Linked DNA regions of Oryctolagus cuniculus. The protein of the gene in region 1 interacts with the protein of each later gene in a biochemical or structural test. Links are inferred from orthologs where the notes say so. Each region holds a gene or a part of one and is shown on either strand. Other genes may lie near its edges.

Region 1 (10,327 bases):
AGACAGCAAGGTCTGCAGGTGCTCAAGCTGCTTACATAAACGGGCATGGATTTTGCACAGAACCCACGCTCATCTTCCTGTGCGCTTTTTTAAATTAATTTATTCATGAGAGGCAAAGACACAGAGGGAGACAGACCAAGAGCTTCCATTTGCTGGTTTATTCCCCAAATGCCTGTAAGGGCCAGGGCTGGGGCAAGTCACAGCTGGCTGCCCAGAGCGTGCGTTAGCAGGAAGCTGGAACCAGCAGCAGAGCTGGGCCCTTGAACTCGGTGTCCCAAGAGGCATCTTAACCAGACACCTGCCCCCCGTGGCACATTGTACATCCCAATGCAACGTAAGTGCCACCTACAAAGTGCCACAATATACTGGTCAGGGGACAACGGCTACAGCAGAAGTCCCAGTGCTCAGGACAGCTAGGGTGGGCTGACCCCACGGATGGAGAAGGCACAGGTGCGAGGGCGGACTGGGTTAACCTCAGCCACCCTCCTCTGCAGCTGGAGGCAGGGCCGAGCACCCACACTCCTCGCCAGCACCCTCAGCGATGGCAGTCCCCAGCCTGTCCCCTGGGAAGTGTGGTTTGGGGCAGCTATTAGGCCATTGCTTGGGATGCCCACGTGCCGTATCTGAGTGTCCAGGTTTGAGTCTCGCCCCCACTTTCCACTCTGAGCACCCTGGGAGGCAGCAGGTGACAGCTCAAGTAGATGAGTCCCGCCCTCCATGTGGGAGGCCCAGATGGAGCTCCAGGCTCCTGGCTTTGGTTTGGCCCAGCCCTGGCTGTGGCAGGCATTTTTTTTATTTTTTAAGATTTATTTGAGTGGTCAGCGCTGTGCCACAGTGGGTTAAAGCCCTGACCTACAGCACCAATATCCTATATGGGCACTGGTTAGAGTCCCAGCTGCTCTACTTCTGATCCAGCTCCCTGCTAATGTGTCTGGGAAAGCAGCAGAAGATGGTCCAAGTCCTTGGGCCCCTGCACCAGCGTAGGAGACCTAGAAGAAGCTCCTGGCTCCTGGCTCCAGATCGGCACAGCTCTGGCCGTTGAGGCCATTTGGGAAGTGACCAGTGGATGGAAACCCCCCCCCCCCCGTCTCTACTTCTCCCTATAACTGTCTTTCAAATAAATAAAATAAATCTTTCAAAAAAGGAGATTTGAAAGGCAGAGTTAGAGAGAGAGAGAGAGAAAGGGAGACTGGTTCATTCCCCATATGGCTTCAATGACTGGAGCTGAGCCAGGCTAAAGACAGGGGCCAGGAGCTTCATCTGGGTCTCCCATGTGAGTTGCAGGGGCCCAACTATTTGGGTCATCTTCCGCTGCTTTCCCAGGCACATTAACAGGAGCTAGCACAGAAGCAGAGCAGCTGGGACTCGAACCAGCATCCACATGGGATGGTGGTGTCATAGGCAGCGGCTTAACCCACTGTGCCACAACACAGTTCCTGCTGCAGGCATTTGGGGAATGAATCAGTGGATGAAGATCTCTCTGTCTCTCCCTGTCTCTCTGTCTCACTCTCCCCCTCTCTCCCTTTCTCTCTGTTGCTTTGCTTTTCAAATACATAAACATTAAAAAAAATAATAATAACGCGCATCCCAAACAGCTTGAAAACAGATACCGATCACCAAGGGCCGTGTGCTCCACGTGGAAAAGTGGGCAGCCAGGGCCCTGCTGGGCGGAGGAGGAGAAAGGGACGGGCAGGGCGCAGGCTGCACGGCCAGGCCCACGGCCAGGGGCTCACCGAATGCACGTACAGCTACGAGGGCCAGGCCGGCACAGCCCTTCAGGCTGCAGGCCAAGCTGCTGTCTCTGCCCATCGGAGCCTCCACGGCTTCATGCGGCCACGCCACCCTCCCCACGTGGCCGCCGCCCATCCCTGCCTCTGTCTCCCAGCACCTCTGCGTCTCTCGCCAGCTAGACTGTGAGCTCCCTGGAACACAGGGTCTCCTTTCTGGAGCTCCTGCACCCAAGGGAGCGATCGTGCGTGCTTCCAAGTGAGGCAGGAGGCCGGATGGGTAGATGGGCATCTTCCCACGGCTGTTTGTCCTTGGAGGTCTCCTCCCCACCGGGAGCGGACAGAGCAGACAGCACCAGAACACAACCCCCTCCAGCTAAGAGGTGGGGGCCCTGGGAGTCAGCGAGACTTGAGGGGGGCTGCGTGGGAAGCCCACGCAGCGGGCCAGGGCTGTAGCAGGTGGCGTCAGGGATGGTGTGGGATGGCATGGGAGCATCCGTGGCCCAAGATGCTGGCAGCACGAGTGTTTTGGGTTCTTCCAGGTTTGGGGCAATGTGCGTAGACGCGGTGAGGTATCTCAGGGTGCGACCCGAATCGGAACACGGAATCCATTTACACGTCACACAGAGCCTCTGCGCGGGGCCGCCAGGTGGTTTTACCCGGCCTTTCCACGTAGCTGCCTTTTCTCCGTGAGCTGTCACCGCGGTCACGTGTGGAGTTTGCCACCTGTGAAGTTCTGGATTCTTGGGGTGGGGCTGCGGGGCTCCGGGGTCAGGAGTGGGACCCAGCATGACAACAGGCCCAGGGGCACTTGCTGCCAGGTTAAAGGGCCCCGGCACTCCTCGGACAGAGGGCTTCTTTTTCCCTAAGTTCACACAGAAGCACCCGGGGCACTAAGAAGGTAACAGCCACTCAAGGGCACACAGCTCGCCAAACACAGGGCTGGAACAGGCGCCCTGGCTCTCGTGTCTGTGCCCTCAACCAGTATCCCATCCCCTCCCTCTTGGGCTCTGAGCCACTGTCCTGTCCATCGTGCTGGAGGGAGGCCGTTAGAAAGAGAAACACTCGGGGGCTGGCGTTGTGGCACAGCAGGTTAAGCCGACACATACCAGGGCATGGCTTTAAGTCCCGATGCTCCGCTTCCGATCCAGCTCCCTGCTAATGCACCTGGGATAGCAGTGGAAGATGGCCCAAGTGCTTGGGCCCCTGCACCCATGTGGGAGACCCAGATGGAGTTCTGGGCTTCTGGCTTCCCCCTGGTCATGGTGACCATTTGAGGAGTGCATCAGCAGATGAAAGACCTGTGTGTGTGTGTGTGTGTGTGTGTGTGTCTCCCTCTGGCTATCATTCTGTCTTTCAAACAAATAAATACATCTTTAATTAAAAAAGAAAGAAAGAAAAACACTTAGATGCGGGTCTTAGAAAGCCCTAACGACTGTTAAGAGCTGGCAAGATGGAGCCCCGGTCCGTCTGTCCCCTGCGGGCAGAGACCAGAGCTTGGACGCTGGGGAAGGTGGAGGGAGTCCCTGCGCCACATGTGGGAGGCACAAGGTGACCCCCACGGTTGCTCGGGTCCGGGAGCCTGAACTGAGGCTGATGGAGAAGGCACCGCTGGCCGTCCGGACGCTCCCCAGCGCGGGGCCGCCCGGGGCAGACGCCGCACCGCCAGCCTGGGTCTCGGCACAGTCCCTACCTTCCTTGCAGTCGTGTTTGTTGTCGTGGAGGACGAAGCCGCTGCGACACTGGCACTCGTAGCTGCCGAACGTGTTGACGCAGTCCTGCTGGCAGCCGCCGTTGTCCTTGGAGCACTCGTCCTTGTCTGCAAGGGGAGCACACGGGCGGCTGGGTCTGTGCAGGGCCCAGGGCTGCCTGCTCCCGGGGCACGCGGCCGGGCTGCCTCCCTCCAGGAGACAGACAGCTGGGCAGGGGTGGGGGGGGGGGGCAAGGCGCCGATGGGGGAGGGGGGTGGAGAGTTGGGGTGGGGGGTCCCGGGCACTGCATCGAGCGGAGCCAGCTGAGGGGGCCCAGCTGTGGGAAAGAGAGCAGAAGTGGGCTGGAGGCGGGGTGAAGGGTCGGAGCTGACCGCCGGGGGCACCCTCTACCATTACCTGCTTACTGGACAGACGGACAAGTGGAAAAACAGACACACGGACAAGCAGACTGCAAGAGAAAGGAGCAGGACGCGGGGGTCCCTCTTTTACTTCACAACGGGAAATGTCACAGACACCATCAAAATGGGGGGAGGGGTGGGGGTGGGGTCCCCCTGTGGCTGTGAGGGACCAGGAGGAGAGGAGAGCACCAGTTCTGTGCGGCCGGAGGCGGCGGCCGGGGGCGGGGGGCGCCGCAGCCCCCAGCCCATTCGTCCGAGGTGAGGTTCCTGAGTAACACGTAGGGTCTGGGAGGCCTGGCCGGCCTCACTGGGGGGTCCGGTTTCTTTTCTGCACTCGGAATTTGAGCTGGTGGGGGCGTCCCCGGGGGGGCTGCAGAGCTGGCCTCTTTTCTGAAATGAGAGAGAGAAGGAGAAAAGGGACCGAGGGGTGGGGGTGGAGGGCGGGGGCCCAGGGGAGGGACAGCAGTGGAGACCAGGCCCGGGGCCACGGGGCGGAGCGGGGAGGCAGGCAGGGCACGCATGCGGGCAGCCATGCCCGGCGCAGCCAGGTCACGGAGGGCTGGGTTAGCAAGGGGCAGGGGAAAGAGGCGCAGCAACAGGGGACAGGAGACAGCCTGTGGCAGGGAGAAGGCCTGGGGGGCACGCAGGACCGAGGCGCGCACTCGGGAGGAGAGGAACCAGGAGTGGTGGGCAGGGGGCTCGTGGGAGCTGCACCCCCAACGGCAATCCACACCCGTGGGCCAGCACTGCAACATGGCCGCTCACTGTGCACATGGGTGCAGATACCAGGACCCAGACAGACGCACACGCGTCACCCGCCCACCTGGAGACACACGCCGCTGCCGGCTCCCACGGCCAAGGGCCCTTCCAAAGCCCGTGGAAAGATGTGATTAAAAGATAAAGCGATCTGAGGCGAGACAGGATGGAAATGCACCCGTGGATTTTTCAGAGTGCCCACTTTCCACGAAGTTTCCAAAGAGCCCTCGCCCATGTGAGGAAGCGTGCGCGCGCGCACACACACCCGTGCACTGACACACAGGATTGCACGTGGTGCGGTGTGTGTAGGCCTCGGCCATGTAGCCTCAGGTTTGTCTGTGGGCACTGGGGGGCCGTGTGATGGTCCACGGGCGAACCCCAAGGGAGAAAGCCACCCGATGGCAGCCAGCCGGCCGGCCGGTGGCAAAGACCTCCTGGGCCCCATCAGAGAGGCCCTCGGGCTGCAGCATCAGCTCCCAGAAGGCTCTGTTTCTCTAAAGCAGATGGGCCAGACCCCTGGGGACGCACAGGGGTCCCTTCCCAAGGGCTCCTGCTCAGGAGGCTCATCAGAGGGGAGGGAGCGAGGGCTGCCTTTGCACTAACCCTGCAGGGATGTAGGGGTCAGGGGCACCGCAGACATCCCTGTGTGCTCTGCAGTAAGGGGCCCAGCAAAGACTCCCCGGGCCTGTTTCCACTCCTTTTCCTCCTAGTTGTACCCTGAATACCTAGGACTGTGCCTGGCACACAGCAGGGGTAAAATAAGCGCTCACAAATGGCCGAGTGAATGGGTGTGTCCTTGGCTGAGTGACAAGTGGGGGCGGCCAGGTCAGCGTCCTCGGGGGGCAGGGGACTCTGGCACAGGTTGGGAGCAGTGGGCAGCCTCACCTCGGAGCCCAGGGGGCAGCTTGTGGGAGGGGCAAGGGCACAGAGGGGGCGGGCGCGGGCCTGGACGAGGAGATGGCACTCACCCTACAGTGCCCACATGCCCCGGAGGGTGGCGGGGGTCCCACTGAAGGTCTCCGGCTCTTTCTTCTCCTTCTTGCCTTAGGGTCTCCTTGATGGGTGTCCCAAGTGTCCAAAAGGCCCCCTTCTGGGGGAGGGGGCCACAGACAGAGGCCCCACGCCCTGGGGGGCTGCACTTGATGCCCACCGGTGAGGGGCCTCGCGACGGGGCAATGCGTGTGCACCCGTGTGTGTGCGTGCTTGCAGGTGTGTGTGAGCATGTGTGTGTGCAGGGCTGAGGGTGGGGTGGCACGGGGTCACGCAGGGGGGCAGGGCAGTGACTAGGCCTGACAGAGGTAAGTGCCAGCCCCCTCCCACCCCACCTCACCCCAAGACTGGAGCAACAGAAGGGCAGGAAGAGACGAGAGTAAGCAGGTAATGGTATCCCCGGGGCAGCCCACCCCCGAGCACCTTGGAGGAGCTGGGCACAGGGCAGGGAGGGACTGGCATTGCGTGGGGGCGGGGGAGGGGTCTTAGCAAGCAGTGGGGCGGGGCGGGATGGCTTTGAGTCAGAAGCTCAATGGGGCACTTTAAGCAGAGCAGGGTGGCTGGCAGTGCCAAGCAGGGAACCCGTGCACAGGGGCAGGTGCATGGCATCCAGGTGGGGCAGGCAGGGGAATGCAGGGCGGCCACATAGGGGCTCGAGGATGCAGGACCCTGGGCGAGGAGGGGGAGAAGGGAGGCAGCGTGGACGCGGCCGTGGCCTCCTGCTTCCTGCCCACCCCATGCCCGGCCCACCAGGCGGGTTGGGGATGAGGACCCCCGGGCGGCTCGTCCACAAAACCACCTTGCCCTGGCCAGCCCTGGGGCCTCCCGCTTTCCCCACCCTCCACCACAGGGCCCCCACACACACCCTGGGTGCCCGCCCACTGCCTCTGAAGACACCGCCCCCGCCCCCTGCAGCTCAGAGAGGCTGAGGCCTCCATTGATTCGGATCCTGCGGGCAGGCCTGGGTGCTGAAAGGTGGAGTCCCAGCACGGCTTGCTCGGGGCCTGATTAGAAGTCTGGCCCCTGCCAGGGAATCTGGCCCACCTCACCGGGGGCAAATATCCTCCTCTTCCCCACCCTCCCGGCACTGGAGCGCTTGGAGGCCTGCCACTCCCTTGAGGGTGCAGAATCTGGGAACTCAGATGCCTGAGGGCCTGGCCCGGGGTATGTGGCGGGGGGGGGGGGGGTGGCAGGGAGCAGGTGCACCAGCTCCACCATCAGGCACCAGATGGGGCTGGGGCGGGGAGGGGGGGGGGGTGGGCAGCGCCAGGGGGAAGACAGCCGTGTGCAGGGCTGGAGCGGGGCAGCCCGGGGTTACCTGAGAAGAACTGGGCCTTGAAGCCCTTTTTGGACACGGTGTTGTCGGACTTGAACTCCACGCGCATGTTGTTGTACTGGGAGGTGATGACCTCAGGCTTCTCGGAGCCACAGAACTTGCCGTGCAGCTTGGAGTCGGCCGTGAGCCCGCTGCGCACCTCCACGAAGTCGTACTTGCACACCTGCCGGGAAGCCCAGCTCCAGGCTGCCTCCTCCAGGAAGCCTCTCCTGACCACCCCACTGGGGGGAAGCTCCCTGGCCTGTGGGCTCTGGAGCCTTTGCCTGCCTACTGCCCCGGATCGGATCTTCCCTCAGGCCTCCCTGCCTCCCTGAATGGGGTGTGGTCCCTCATCCCCACTCTCAGAGTGCACTCGGAGGACAGGAAGTGGGCACGAGCTGGGCTCCCATGCCTCCCGCCCCCTTTCAGCCCCAGTGGGCACTCACGTCGTTGCCCTCGGTCTCAAAGAAGTCGAACTGCAAGGAGATGCGGTACTGGGTGGGTGCCACCAGCTGCCAGATACAGTTCTTGTTCGGGGGGTACTCCTTGGGCCAGCCCGGGCTGGTGATGGAGCCATTGAGCTTGGTGAGGAACCCACCGCAGGCAGCTGGGGGGGGGCCGGGGGGGACATCAGTCACCAGGAGTCCCTACTGCCTACTGCCTACTGCCTACTGCAGGGCAGGGCCGGGCTGGGGTTTGGGTCTGATCCGTCTGGGACGGAAGGGAGTAGGCAGGGTGAGAGTGGGTGTCCGGGGTTGTATAAGCCTGGGTGTTTCTCTGTGGGAAGACCCCACAGGCCAGGGGTCTTCTGAGAGGGAGAAGGGGGAGGCAGGGGCTCCTGGGAGCCCCTGGAGGCTCGGGAGAGGGGGCAGCTCGGAGAACCCGCTGACGCCTTAGCCTGCAGTGTGGTCACCACACTGACATTGCTTTGCAGGTCAAGGTCAGCGTTAAAGCCAAACCCCAAGCCAGCCTGCAGAACACATGGCAAGTGTGCATTCTCGCCGGGGTTCTCCAGGAGCTGGGAGGAGGGCACGGGCAACTCCGGCCAGCTCCCCAAGGCTGGGGACGGCATCAGGACGGTGCGGGCAGGGCTCAGGGGAGAAGGGGGTCGGGCCCGCGCACCCTCACAGCGGCGCTTGTCGGGGGCCAGCTCGTAGCCGGGGTCACAGCTGCACTTGTAGCTGCCCAGGGTGTTCAAGCATCGCTGCTCGCAGCCCCCGCGGTTGGGCCGAGAGCACTCGTCCACCTCTGCGGAGGAAAGAGGCGGGATTAGAGACCCTGCAGGCTGCCGCCGGGCCCTCGTCCAGCCTCTGCCGGAGGGTCAAGTTCACGATCCCCCAGGCTTTGCGTCTACCTTCCAGCGTGGGGGAGTCAGCGGTGAGGCTCACCTCTCCACTCAGCTGTGGACAAACCTGCCTCCCAGCCCCCCGAGGGTGCTAGATACCCCACGATGGGCCCCAGAGCCTCCCTTCTGGGCACATGGACTGGGCTGGCGGCCAGCACCATTTCCTGGCGCCTCTCCTGTGCTGTTCCCCTCACTAAGTAATCTTCCTCCATCGCTCTTTCAGTCCACACACGCAGCCTGTGGGGGAAGGACTGTTACCGCGCCCATTTTACAGATGGAAGACTGATTCAGCCCCTCCCCCAGGGGGTGGCGCTTTCCCCCAGCAGCCCCTCCCCCAGGGGGTGGATCTTCCCCCAGCAGCCCCTCCCCCAGGGGGCGGATCTTTCCCAGCAGCCCCTCCCCCAGGGGTGGATCTTTCCCCAGCAGCCCCTCCCCCAGGGGGCGGATCTTTCCCCAGCAGCCCCTCCCCCAGGGGGTGGATCTTCCCCCAGCAGCCCCTCCCCCAGGGGTGGATCTTTCCCCAGCAGCCCCTCCCCCAGGGGGCGGATCTTTACCCAGCAGCCCCTCCCCCAGGGGTGGATCTTCCCCCAGCAGCCACTCCCCCAGGGGGCGGATCTTTCCCCAGCAGCCCCTCCCCCGGGGGTGGATCTTTCCCCAGCAGCCCCTCCCCCAGGGACGGATCTTTCCCCAGCAGCCCCTCCCCCAGGGGGCGGATCTTTCCCCAGCAGCCCCTCCCCCGGGGGTGGATCTTTCCCCAGCAGCCCCTCCCCCAGGGACGGATCTTTCCCCAGCAGCCCCTCCCCCAGGGGTGGATCTTCCCCCAGAAGCCCCTCCCCCAGGGGTGGATCTTTCCCCCAGTAGCCCCTCCCCCAGGGGGGTGGATCTTCCCCCCAGCAGCCCCTCCCCCGGGGGTGGACCCTCCCCTCAGCAGCTCCTCACACACCTGCGTCCCTCCCACAGTCTGCGCTGGCCCCAGTAAAGGAACACAGGCGACGGACTGGCCGCGGGGATGGCAGGACGCGGCAGCAGGGAAGCCCGCACCTTTGAAAAAGTTGACAGCGAAGCCGGCTTTGTTGATGGAGCCGTCGGAGACGAACTTGAGCCAGAGGCGGCTGGAGGTGCTCTTGATGTCGTCGGGCTTCTCGTAGCCGCAGTAGCGCCCGATGAGGGCGCTGCTCTCGCTGTGCCCGTCGCGCACCTCCAGGTAGTCGTAGGCACAGCTGTCATGGCGCTCGATCTGGGCGGGCGGGGACACGGTCAGCGGGCGGACAGAGCTCTGGCGGCGGGGAGGTGGGGGGCGTGGGGGTGGGTTTCAGCGTCCCATCACGGGGTCCCCAACCTACCTCGAAGGACTGGAACGTGAGGCCCACGTGGTAGCCCTCAGACACCTGGATCCTCCAGATGCACACCTTGCTGGGCCGGTAGTCATCCGGGTAATTGGGTGACTGGATGTGGCCATTGTCCTTCTTCACGTCACCCCCACAGATGGCTTTGGGGAAGAGGGTGTGGCTAATGAGCACGCTCTGCCCTGCTTGGCAGCCCCTAGCCCCTGTGCCCCAGGCTGGTCCTCCCCAGCAGGCCCACGGCCTCTCCCCGTGGCCCCGTTCCCTGTACCTTCATAGACTGCGAAGAAGCCCTTTCCAACCCAGTTGCTGCTGCTGCGGAATTCAACCCAGAGGCGGCTGTCGGTGGAGACGATGGGCTCGGGGAGCTTGCCCCCGCAGAAGCGGCCTGTGTGACAGCGGGGAGGAGCCCTGAGACCCGGCCTAGGCCCCAGCCCCCTCCCCCCCGCTGCCTCTCCGGGAGGCTCAAGCCAGCCAGTTCCCAACAGGAGGCAAAGGTGACTTCTCATAAGAGGCCAGTGTCCCCTGAGTGCCACGCCCCTGGAGGGCAACATTCTCGTATCCCTGCCACCACCTTTCTCCAGGCTAAGGAACAATCAAGACAGGAGCTGAGCCCGCTCTGCGCATGCCAGCCAGGCAGGCTTTCGCGGGCTCAAACACAGCGGATAACCCCCAAGGCCCCGAAATAAATCCTGGAACCCCAGGGCGGACCGAGTCTGAAAAATGTCCTCCCCTAGCGGG
Region 2 (9,167 bases), on another chromosome or scaffold:
GCCACTGCACCTGCTCTGGGGAGGAATGGAAGATGCCTGGGTCACGTGGGGCTGCTCCACTGGCAGAGCAGGACTCACACCCAGCGCCCCTATTTCCCTGGCCCAACAGGAAGCCAACTCTCAGAGCCTAGGGGACTTTGCCCATATTTTTTCCAGGCCAAGCATGGGCTCCCCTCTCCTGGCAGCCCCCTCCCCATCTCTGCAGAGCCGGCTGGGTTATGGCACCAGAAAAGCTTGGGTGGCCATACCTTGCAGGTGCAGACAGCACACTTAATTAAGCCAAAGGGGGGCACGACGGGGTGCCACCGGGTACCCGCTGCCCGCCAGCTCCGGTCACCATCAAAATAGCAGCCTGGAGGGTTGGGAGGGGGACAGTGCCCAGATGCCATTAGTCCTGAGCTCATCAGCTGGGTCCACAAACAAGACCTGAGCCTCAGGCACCCACGCCAGCCTAACCCCAGGGCCTACCCTACCCATGGATCAGTAACACTGATGAGGCTTGCAGGTGTCAGCCCCACCCCTTAACTGTCCCCGTCCTGCTCCAATCCAGTGGCTCCTCTGGCTCCTCCCACTCCTGCACGCACCCTTCCAGCTCACCCTCTCCCGGGTCCCGGCTCCTAGGCAGCCCTGGCAGCTCTCTGACATCTTGTTTCTCTGTGGAGCCACAGAAATGGTGAAGGCAGAGAGTGACCCCACCGGTCCAGTCCTCCCTCGAAGGCCCATCCCCCACCAGGCTGATGCCTCTACTACCCTCTCCTTTCCTGCAGGAAACTCACCCGGGCACACGGGGCAGCACTGGTCCAGCACCTGTACCGGCTGGGAGCAGCTGGGTGGTGGGCACACTACAGGGTCACAGATCACTGTCCGTCTCTGCACAGAGAGGCAGGGGCTTGAGGGGGTCCCTTGCCCTAGACACTGGGACCCAGTTTACCTTGTAGGGCCTCCTACCTGGCAGGTGCAGAGGGAGCAGAGCGGGTCATAGTTGGGCGCCCAGCGTGCCCCATGAGGACGCTGCTGCCCCTCGAAGAAGCACATGTTGGGGTCTCGGGGCCGCACAGGACCACCAGATTTGGCGGGTGCTGGGACCTCAGGACCAGACACAGGGGGTGGTGCTGGCAATGCAGCTGCCACTGCCGCTGCATCCGGAGCCCCAGGTGTCTGCACACCCTCGGCCCCGGCTGCAGCCAGACGCAGGCCACCCACCTCGCAGTGATTGGCGATGTGTACCTGGGAGGAGAGGCCTACTGAGGTAGCGCAGGGCCCCCGCCCCTTGAGTCTCCACCAGTGGCAGCCAGACAGCCCCCAGGCCATACCCCTGCCCCCAAAACCCCATGGTGCCCTGGGAGGGTGTATTTAGCCACAGAGATCTATCCAGCCACCAGGGACAGGGCTGTGGGCTGCAGTCCGCCCATGGACCTTCTCTGGCATGGTCCTTCCCACAGCCAGGGAGGCTGATACCCCCACCCCCAGGGTTTAGAGGCAGCAAGCCACCGCTGCCAGGACCCAGCCACATGCCAGCCACATGTCATCCCCACAGAACTCCTACCTGCCCCCGAAGCTCCCCTCGGGGACTCCCCTTGGTGGAGATCAACAGGGAGGCAGTGCCCTGAGCCAGGTGCCGCAGCAGCTCAGGCTCCAGGTCCTTTACCACGCCCTGGGCCTGCAGAGGGAGGGATGGAACAAGATACGGAAGGGCCCGCCTCCTGTTCCCCTACGACCACCACCATTAGCAAGTGAAGAAACAGCCCAGGGAGATTAAATAAGCTCTCCCTAGGGTGGCCAAGCCCCTCCAGACTGAGTGGGGCTCTGAGGTCCAAGTCCAGAGCAACGCCTCCCACAGAATAGCACATAGTACCCAAGGAAGCCGCAGGAGGAGGGCATAGAAAGGAGAGTGGATAAGCAGAGGCAGAGGCAGGTCCATACCCAGGTCTGTCTGATTGCTGAGCCCATGCCAGCTCCGCAATCCCAGGCTGCCCCGCTCTCTGCTTCCCCCACCACAGGCCCTTCAAGCTCAAAATCAGAAATTTTCCAAGCCTCATGCTACCATCACGTCCTCACCTCTGGGCCGTAGAATCCCTTCAGCAGCCGCCGGGGTCCTGGCATCCCAGGAGGCCCGAGGAGGTGGGCAGTGACGGTGCCCTGCTCTGAGCCACCAAGCCCAGCCAGCAGCACTTCATAGTGCAGGTGACAGTGGGCATCCAGGGAGAGCCAGGCATGCCCAGCTGCCTGGCTCTGCACAGGGGGCAACACCAGGGCTCCTGCCAGGGGCACAGGCAGTGCTGGGTCCAGACAGAGAAGTGACAGATGAGAAGGCGGCCCAGAGAAGCCCCTCGGTCCCAGCACACCCCATCTCCCCCAACACAGACTCCATGAGCTGGAAGGCGCCGTCCACAGGCCCAGGGCCTGGGAAGCAGCAAGTCTTAGACCCTGCACCAGGCAACAAGCAGTCTGCCGGAGTCCCCACCTTCTCCAGAGGCCAAGCCGGAGCTCAGGCACAAAGAAACACGCACCAGGTCTGACCTCTGCCACCATCTCTCACATGCTTGAGTCACAGGTCAGAGGACGTCAAAGAGCAGGCAGACCCCCGGGGCACTCACTCTCATGGCGGGCGCTGTGTCCACTGTAGGGCAAGGTAGCCACGTGCCCCCGCAGCTCGCCGTCCGGGAAGTCCTTGGTGCCCACGTTCAGGAACAGCTCGTTCTGCAGCAGCATGTGCGCCCCTCGGGCACCCAGCCCAGGGCAGACACCCGCAGTCTGGGAGGTTGGGGGATGGGGAAGGATGAGGCCCCTCAGCTTTTCCATCAGCCCAAGGTTCTGCAGCCTTCGCTACACCCATGCACGCTTTCACACCCCAGGAATGCGGGACCAGAACCTCGCAGGCCCGCCTTCCAGCGCCTCCTAGATATGTAACAGCCTTGAAGAGTTTCAGCTCTCTGAGCCTTCCCTCCCTCAGCTATGAAACGGGTACTGTGAAGGCCAGAAACATAGGAAAGGCCACCAGGACAGCAGCTGGCACGTGGAAGGACCCAAGCGGAAGCAGCCAGTGCCCTCGCACTCAGCATGACCTGGGCGACTGCACTACTCTCCTGTCTACTTTCTCCCACTCGAGGGTGAGCTCACTGAGGACAGGGCCACATCTGATTTTCCATGCACTCCAGCCCCTAGTCTAGAGCTCACTAAAAATGTGTCAGATGAACAAATGAATCAGGGAGAGAAGCCCTGAGCGAGTGAAGGAGACTGAACATCCCTGCTCATGCAACCTAGCCTCCCCCAGCCCACACTGGCATCCCTGCACATGGGCCCTGGGGCCCTCACCATATGTCCCCCTGTGCGGAGCACAGCCATGTGGCACAGCACAGTGCGCTGGTTCCTTCGCTGAGGCTTGGTCTCCAGTGTCATGGCCACCACCTCACTGCTTGTACCTACAACCTGCACCTGATGGGCAGGGTTGGAGGAAGGCAAATTAAGTAGAGTGACGCTGAAAGCCCAGGACCTGAACCATCGCAGGTCCAGGCCCTTCCCTGCTACCCTCCTCTCCCCCTACAGCCCCTCTTACCTGATAGATCAGAGAGCCATTTCCTAGCAGTGTGAGGCTGGCTGAGCCAGCAGCCCCAGTCTGGACAGGAGTCAGGGCATCAGCTCCACAAAGGACACTTTGCAGGACTGCAAGACAGGTTGTAGCAGGGCTGCTGCACCGTCACTCATAGCCCTGGCCCCCAGGATCTTTCCCACATCCATCCTGGTCCCTTCCCTGGCACGTCTGCGGGTGCTAGCCCCACCCTGCCTCACCATCGCAGCTCTGCCTGGCAGCAATGTGCCCACTGATGCGCAGCTCCGGCCCAGCTGTCCTCGCCAGAGCCATCTGCAGCTCTCCCTGCACTAGCCAGTCCATCTCCTGTGCTGTCAGGTCGGGCAGCACCTCGGCGAAGCCCGGCTCCTGGGGACAGAGCAGGGCGCGGTGGGCACCAGCAAGAAGCCAGAGCTGGCAGCAGCCGAGGCACAACCTCACATACCTGGGCTGAGCCATTGGCCTGGAGCTCTCGCAGCAGCTGCCCCTGGTGTAGAATCTGGAGCCTCAAGGGAACCCGGGACGGCCCTGCAACAGTCGCACGTGTGGCCCTTCCTCTGGGAAAGGTGCTCCCCTCCTCTGCTCCCTCTCTCCTCCCCAGCCCGCTTACCCCCATTCCTGGGGTCCAGCAGCCCCCTGAAGAGCAGCAAAAAATGCAAGGAGTCTTCTGTGTCGCTGAGCGTCAGCAGAGTGACTCCCCCTACACCCGGCTGCTGGGGGCCCTCCAAAGTCAGGATGGCGCTGAAGGTCTCTGCGGGAGCGAGGGCCATGAGAGGCCACCAGAAAATCCTCCCCTCGGCCCACCCACCTTGGGACTCAGACTTGCACACCCAGGGGCCATTGGCTCCCCTTACCTGCAGCCAGGGCCCGGTGCCGGATCAGAGGCCCCCAGACCTCCCCTGAAGGGTGAGTGGGTGTCACGAGTGCCACATGCAACTGTTCTGCCCTGAGGAGCCGCAGAGACAACCGAGGCACTGCCCGCCACACCCCACAGACCTGGAGCATCGAGACAAGAGGCCCTGCGCTCAGGACGCACACAGGCCAGCCCCAAGGCCCCGGCCTGGAGAGGAAGGTCTGTGGAGAGGAGCCCCCAGAGCCCCCCTAAGAAGCTTAGGAAGGGGCCCAGGAACCTGATGCTGGGGTTCAGGTCCTGGCTCTACCACTCCCTAACTGCGTGACCTTGAACAAATCCCTCGTCTATAAAATGGGCATCTTTCTCGCTCTGGGCTCTCGCGGAGACCAGAGGAGGCAGCAGGGCACGCGCTCTCAGCACAGCACCCAGACCAGGCAAGCACTCATGAGTGGTATCATCTCACCAGGCCGTCCTGAGTGGGGGCTGCGGGGTGTTCAAACAGGACGCTGCCAGTGGGGTCAGAGAAGCGCACCCTGGTGGGCCGGTCCAGTCTGGAGAGGAGAGGGCAGGTGAGCCGGGTGGCCCAGCCCCCCCACCTCCTGTTCTCCTTCATCTCCTCCTCCCCACCCCCTCCCCTCACCGCCGGTAGGAGATGGAGAAACGCAGGCTGGAGCGCAGCAGTGAGACCCGGGCACGTGCCACCGCCTGCGACCTCGTCCCTGTCAGCAGCGCCACAAAGTCTGCACCGGGAGGAAAGATGGACTGAGCACTGTCAGCTGCCGCTGGCGATACGGCCTCCTCACGACCCTACCCCGGGCCCCGCCTACCAGTGTGGCCTTCACCGCGCGCCCGATCCTCCGAGCCCGGTTCCCCGCGGTCGCTGTAACTGCGGTGTTCGGGGTCCCGCGGATACTCAAAGGACAGGCCCGGTGGCTGCCGCTCAGCACCGCTGCGTTCTGTGCCAGGGTTAAGGGACACCGCCTTCAGCGCGCGCTGGGCGAGCTGCCCCGAAACAAGTGGCCCAGGACCTGGGATCGCTGCCGCCTGCGGAGCAGGCCTTACCCTGGGGGCAGGTCTGGCAGCAGTGTCCCGGTAGCTGCCTCGGCTGCCCGCAGGCCAGGGCTGGGCACTCGGGCTTGATGTTCTTGCAGCTGACTCTGCCAGGGCCCCTGGCACGGCGAGCCCACTGAGGCTGCTCGGGGAGAAAACGGGACAAGCAAGTCAGTTCTCGATGACCAAGGGGAGCGAGCCGGCGCAGCGCGGCAAGGACGGCGCGCACTTCCAGGCTGCGTGGCCCTACGCAAGTTACCTAACCTCTCTGGGCCTTGCCTTCCCCATCTGGGAAAAGAACTGGATCCCTCTAGCAGAGTTTTAAGTTAAGTGACAGGGGAGACGCGGCCGGCGCAGAGCCGCGCGCATGGCGGGTGATCAATGAGTCAACACCTGAGACCCGCAGGGCGGGCGGCCAGGACAACACCCCCAAACGCTCGGGTGTGCGGACCAGCTCCGAATCCACGCCGCCGGCTCGGGAGCCCAGCGCTTCCCAACCCGTGAGGGCCCGGGCCGCGGCCGCCGCGTCCACTCACCGCCTCGCAGGCGCACAGCACGCAGCGCATCACCCCGAAGGGCTCCCCCAGGTCCGGGTGCCACGTCTCGTCCAAGGCATAGACCTTCCCGCCGAACGAGCAGCCTGCAGGGACGGGCTTGGCTGGCGGCCGCTGCCCAGCTCGTGCCGGGTGCCCGCCCCGGGCGCTGCCCGCCGGGCCCCGGGGGGCCCCTGGCACCGCGCGCCCCGCAGCCCCCGCCCGCCCCTCCGGGCCGCCCGCCGTGCGAGCCACCTGCGCCCCGCCGGCCCCTCCGGGCGGGCGCGGACTTGCCCGGAGCCGACTCCCCGCCCGCGTCTACCCCCCCACCTCCGGGCGCCCACCTACCTGCCGCTCCCCGAACGGGCAGCGGCTCCTTCTCGGGACGGATGGGCAGCGCGGGGGGCTCGGGGCCGGCGCCGCGGGCCGGCTGGGGGCCGAGCAGCAGCAGCCCGAGGAGCAGCAGCGGGGCCGGCGGGGCCGGGAGGCTCGGCATGACGCGAACGGGACAGCTGGGGAGGCGGGAGGGAGGAGGGCGCGGGCGCGGGAGGAGGGAGGAGGGCCGGGCCGGGGGCGGTGCGGCGGGAGGGGGCCGGGGCCAGGGCCGGGGCAGTGCGGCGAGGGGCTCGTCGGGCGGCCGCGGAGTCGGCGCCGGGCCGGGAGGGGCGGGCGGAGCGGCCGGGAAGAGCGCGGCCGGGCGGGCGCTGACCCGGGCCGTATGTGGCTTCGAGTGCCCCGGGCGCCGGCTCCGGCCCGTTTTATGCCCCGCGCCCGACGCCCCGGCCGGGGGCCTCCTCCTCAGCAAACGGGGCGGCGGCGGCGGCTCGGCGAGGGGCCGGGCTGAGCCCGGGGGGTCCGGCCCAGCGGCAGCGGCCCGGATCGCGAGTGGGGGAGGGGAGGGAGGGGCTGGGACCGGGCAGGGGAGGAGGGAGGGGCTGGAGGGGAAGGGGGAGCGGAGGGGGGAGGGGGAGGGGAAGGACCTGGGGGCGCGTAGAGGGGGAGGAGAGGCGGGCCTGCAGCCCCCCGCTGCTGGCGGCCACAGGATGGCCGGACCCCGAGGTGTCCATGTCAGGCCCAGGTCGGGAGTCTCCGGCTAGGCAGGGGCGGGTGCTGGGCCTGAGGCCCCGAGGGTCCCAGGGTGAGGACCCTGCTCCTACCCAAGGATGAAGACTTTCCTTTCAGGATGACAAGGAGCGGGAGAGGTCCATCCGCGGATGTCCCCTGGAGCCCGGCCCACAGCACCACCCTCTCTCTCACTGCCCCCAGGTGTCTTCTCATTGCAGTGCTCCCAAGACAGGCAGGGTGCTCCTTCTGTCCAGTGACAGCGTCTCCCAGGTGGACCCGGCCATCATCTCTTGCCCTCTCCTGCGGGCCCCTCTGCCTCTCCAGCCTACTCCCCAAACGCCCTTTCCTGGTAGTGGCTGCCCCCCCATGCCCTCCCACCCCCACACACCCACCATCCCCGCAGCCGTCCCAGCACCCTCCTTCCTAATCTCAGGAGGAATCTCTTCTGGCTGAACTAGAGAATTCCGGGATCTAGGCCATGCTCCCTCGCAGGCAGCCCCATCCTGGGGAGGAAGACAGGAGAAAGCCTGGGGAGGAACCTGTGCGGGCAGGGGGTGTGCCGGGAACAAGGTCAGGCCAGGAGGCCCCTGAGGACAGGGGCTATGGGGAGACCAGGACTGAGGGGAAAGCAAAGGAACAGAGCCATGGCCAAAGGCAGAGGGGCCAGCAGGGAGGTATTTGCAGGGGAGGCCCAGCAGCTGTCTTTCTAAGACAGGGACACATGGGCCTGGTTATTCCTCTTGTCACATGTGGAATGACAGGAGATGGAAGAGGGAGAAAGGCAGGGCACGGGCACCAAGATAAGTGGACCTGAGCCGGGCTCAACCCAGCACCCGCTACTCGTGTTCCCATCCCCTCAGCTGGCCAAAGCCCTCTGCCAGAAAATGACCCATAAGAGGACCCCTGTAGCACAGGCCATACCCAGATCCCCACCTGGAAAGGGAGAGTGACAAGACGGGACTCCCTAGGGGGTTATAGGAAAGTGGGAAGGCAAGAGCCGATTGGATTTCAGCAGCAGGTGTGGTGTGCAGGGAAAAGAAATGTAGATAGCCAGGACTGAAAACCCACCAGTCTGAAGCAAGACCTCTGTGCCGCTTCCTCCAGGACACAGGTGTCCTGCCAGATCCTCCTCCCCCCACCCCCCCACCCCCAACAACAACAACAACAAAAACCCTCTGCTCCTTTCCCACCTCTGCCCGTTGTCAGGTCCCAGACTTCCCATCTCCTAGGAGAAGACAGAGTCCCCTATCCAAATCCTCCTGTGGTGTGTGTGGGTGGAGGAGCTGGGCTCCACTAGTGGACCATGGTCCAGGCAGGGGCTCCGGGTCCAGCGCGGCTGGGAGGAGAAGGCGTCACTTCCGGGGGCCTTTGCCAGTGTCCAGTGGCTCCCTGCTCTCTGATTGGGCAGAAGTGGCCAGAGCAGGCGTGTGACCCCACTGCCGTGGAGAGGCTGTGCCCCAACGCCACAAGTCTTCCTACCCATCGGCTCCCCAGAGCACTGCCTGCTGTGCACCTGGGTCCTTGAGCCCTTCTCCACCTGGTGAGTGACAAGCAGGGTTTGGGGTTAGGTGAGCGTAGGAAGGACAGGAAAGAGGAACTGGGCTTGCAGCTGGGGGAGGGGCAGGCAAACTGGAACCTACAGGCACTGACCTTTGTCGAGAAGAGTGGAGCCTTCCCAGAATGGGAGGAGCAGGACAGAGCAGGGGTAGGGGGTGGGGTACTGGGTTCCGAGGGACTAATCACAGACATAGTAGAACACAGCACAGTCCTGGCTGACCCTAGAGAACAGGGACCTGGGCCTGGGGAGAATGTAAGACAGGAAGTGCATTTAGGGCCTGGGGAGCATGGTACCAAGATGGACAGAGCCCCAGTCTCCCTTCCTTCCTGGCATTCCTTACTGGCTTAAAGTTTTGAATCCTGGAGCCAGGGAAGCTGACTCGGGCCAGCCAGGGCACAAGAAGAGAGGAATGGGAGGAGGGCTGGTGCATGTTGACAGACCTACAGGAAATCCCAATATTGAATCAGGTGCTGGCCTCTTTGCACAACTTGTGAAAGGAGGAGGAAGCCTTGTGGGGGGTCCTATAGAGAAACCAGAAAG

What was found. The genes of interacting proteins can lie anywhere in the genome.
Region 2: of the proteins of BMP1 (region 1) and CHRD, one has a biochemical effect on the other in vitro, tested with the Homo sapiens proteins (3 studies listed by BioGRID and IntAct). The link is inferred for Oryctolagus cuniculus from reciprocal best matches to the Homo sapiens genes BMP1 and CHRD.

The regions. Positions count from the first base shown.
Region 1 is NC_091439.1:1,112,563-1,122,889, forward strand, and holds part of BMP1 (bone morphogenetic protein 1), read right to left. Parts: intron 9,975-10,327; coding exon 9,858-9,974; intron 9,733-9,857; coding exon 9,587-9,732; intron 9,481-9,586; coding exon 9,285-9,480; intron 8,147-9,284; coding exon 8,021-8,146; intron 7,506-8,020; coding exon 7,345-7,505; intron 7,083-7,344; coding exon 6,902-7,082; intron 4,228-6,901; exon of another isoform or gene 3,547-4,227; coding exon 3,421-3,546; intron 1-3,420. UniProt on the Homo sapiens protein: Metalloprotease that plays key roles in regulating the formation of the extracellular matrix (ECM) via processing of various precursor proteins into mature functional enzymes or structural proteins.
Region 2 is NC_091435.1:93,948,607-93,957,773, reverse strand, and holds the start of CHRD (chordin), read right to left. Parts: upstream 6,623-9,167; 5' UTR 6,501-6,622; coding exon 6,353-6,500; intron 6,112-6,352; coding exon 6,008-6,111; intron 5,614-6,007; coding exon 5,484-5,613; intron 5,378-5,483; coding exon 5,249-5,377; intron 5,162-5,248; coding exon 5,062-5,161; intron 4,973-5,061; coding exon 4,885-4,972; intron 4,565-4,884; coding exon 4,423-4,564; intron 4,320-4,422; coding exon 4,179-4,319; intron 4,097-4,178; coding exon 4,014-4,096; intron 3,938-4,013; coding exon 3,790-3,937; intron 3,664-3,789; coding exon 3,557-3,663; intron 3,436-3,556; coding exon 3,316-3,435; intron 2,755-3,315; coding exon 2,598-2,754; intron 2,280-2,597; coding exon 2,059-2,279; intron 1,661-2,058; coding exon 1,547-1,660; intron 1,228-1,546; coding exon 949-1,227; intron 871-948; coding exon 777-870; intron 655-776; coding exon 598-654; exon of another isoform or gene 585-597; intron 353-584; coding exon 249-352; and 1 more. UniProt on the Homo sapiens protein: Dorsalizing factor. Key developmental protein that dorsalizes early vertebrate embryonic tissues by binding to ventralizing TGF-beta family bone morphogenetic proteins (BMPs) and sequestering them in latent complexes.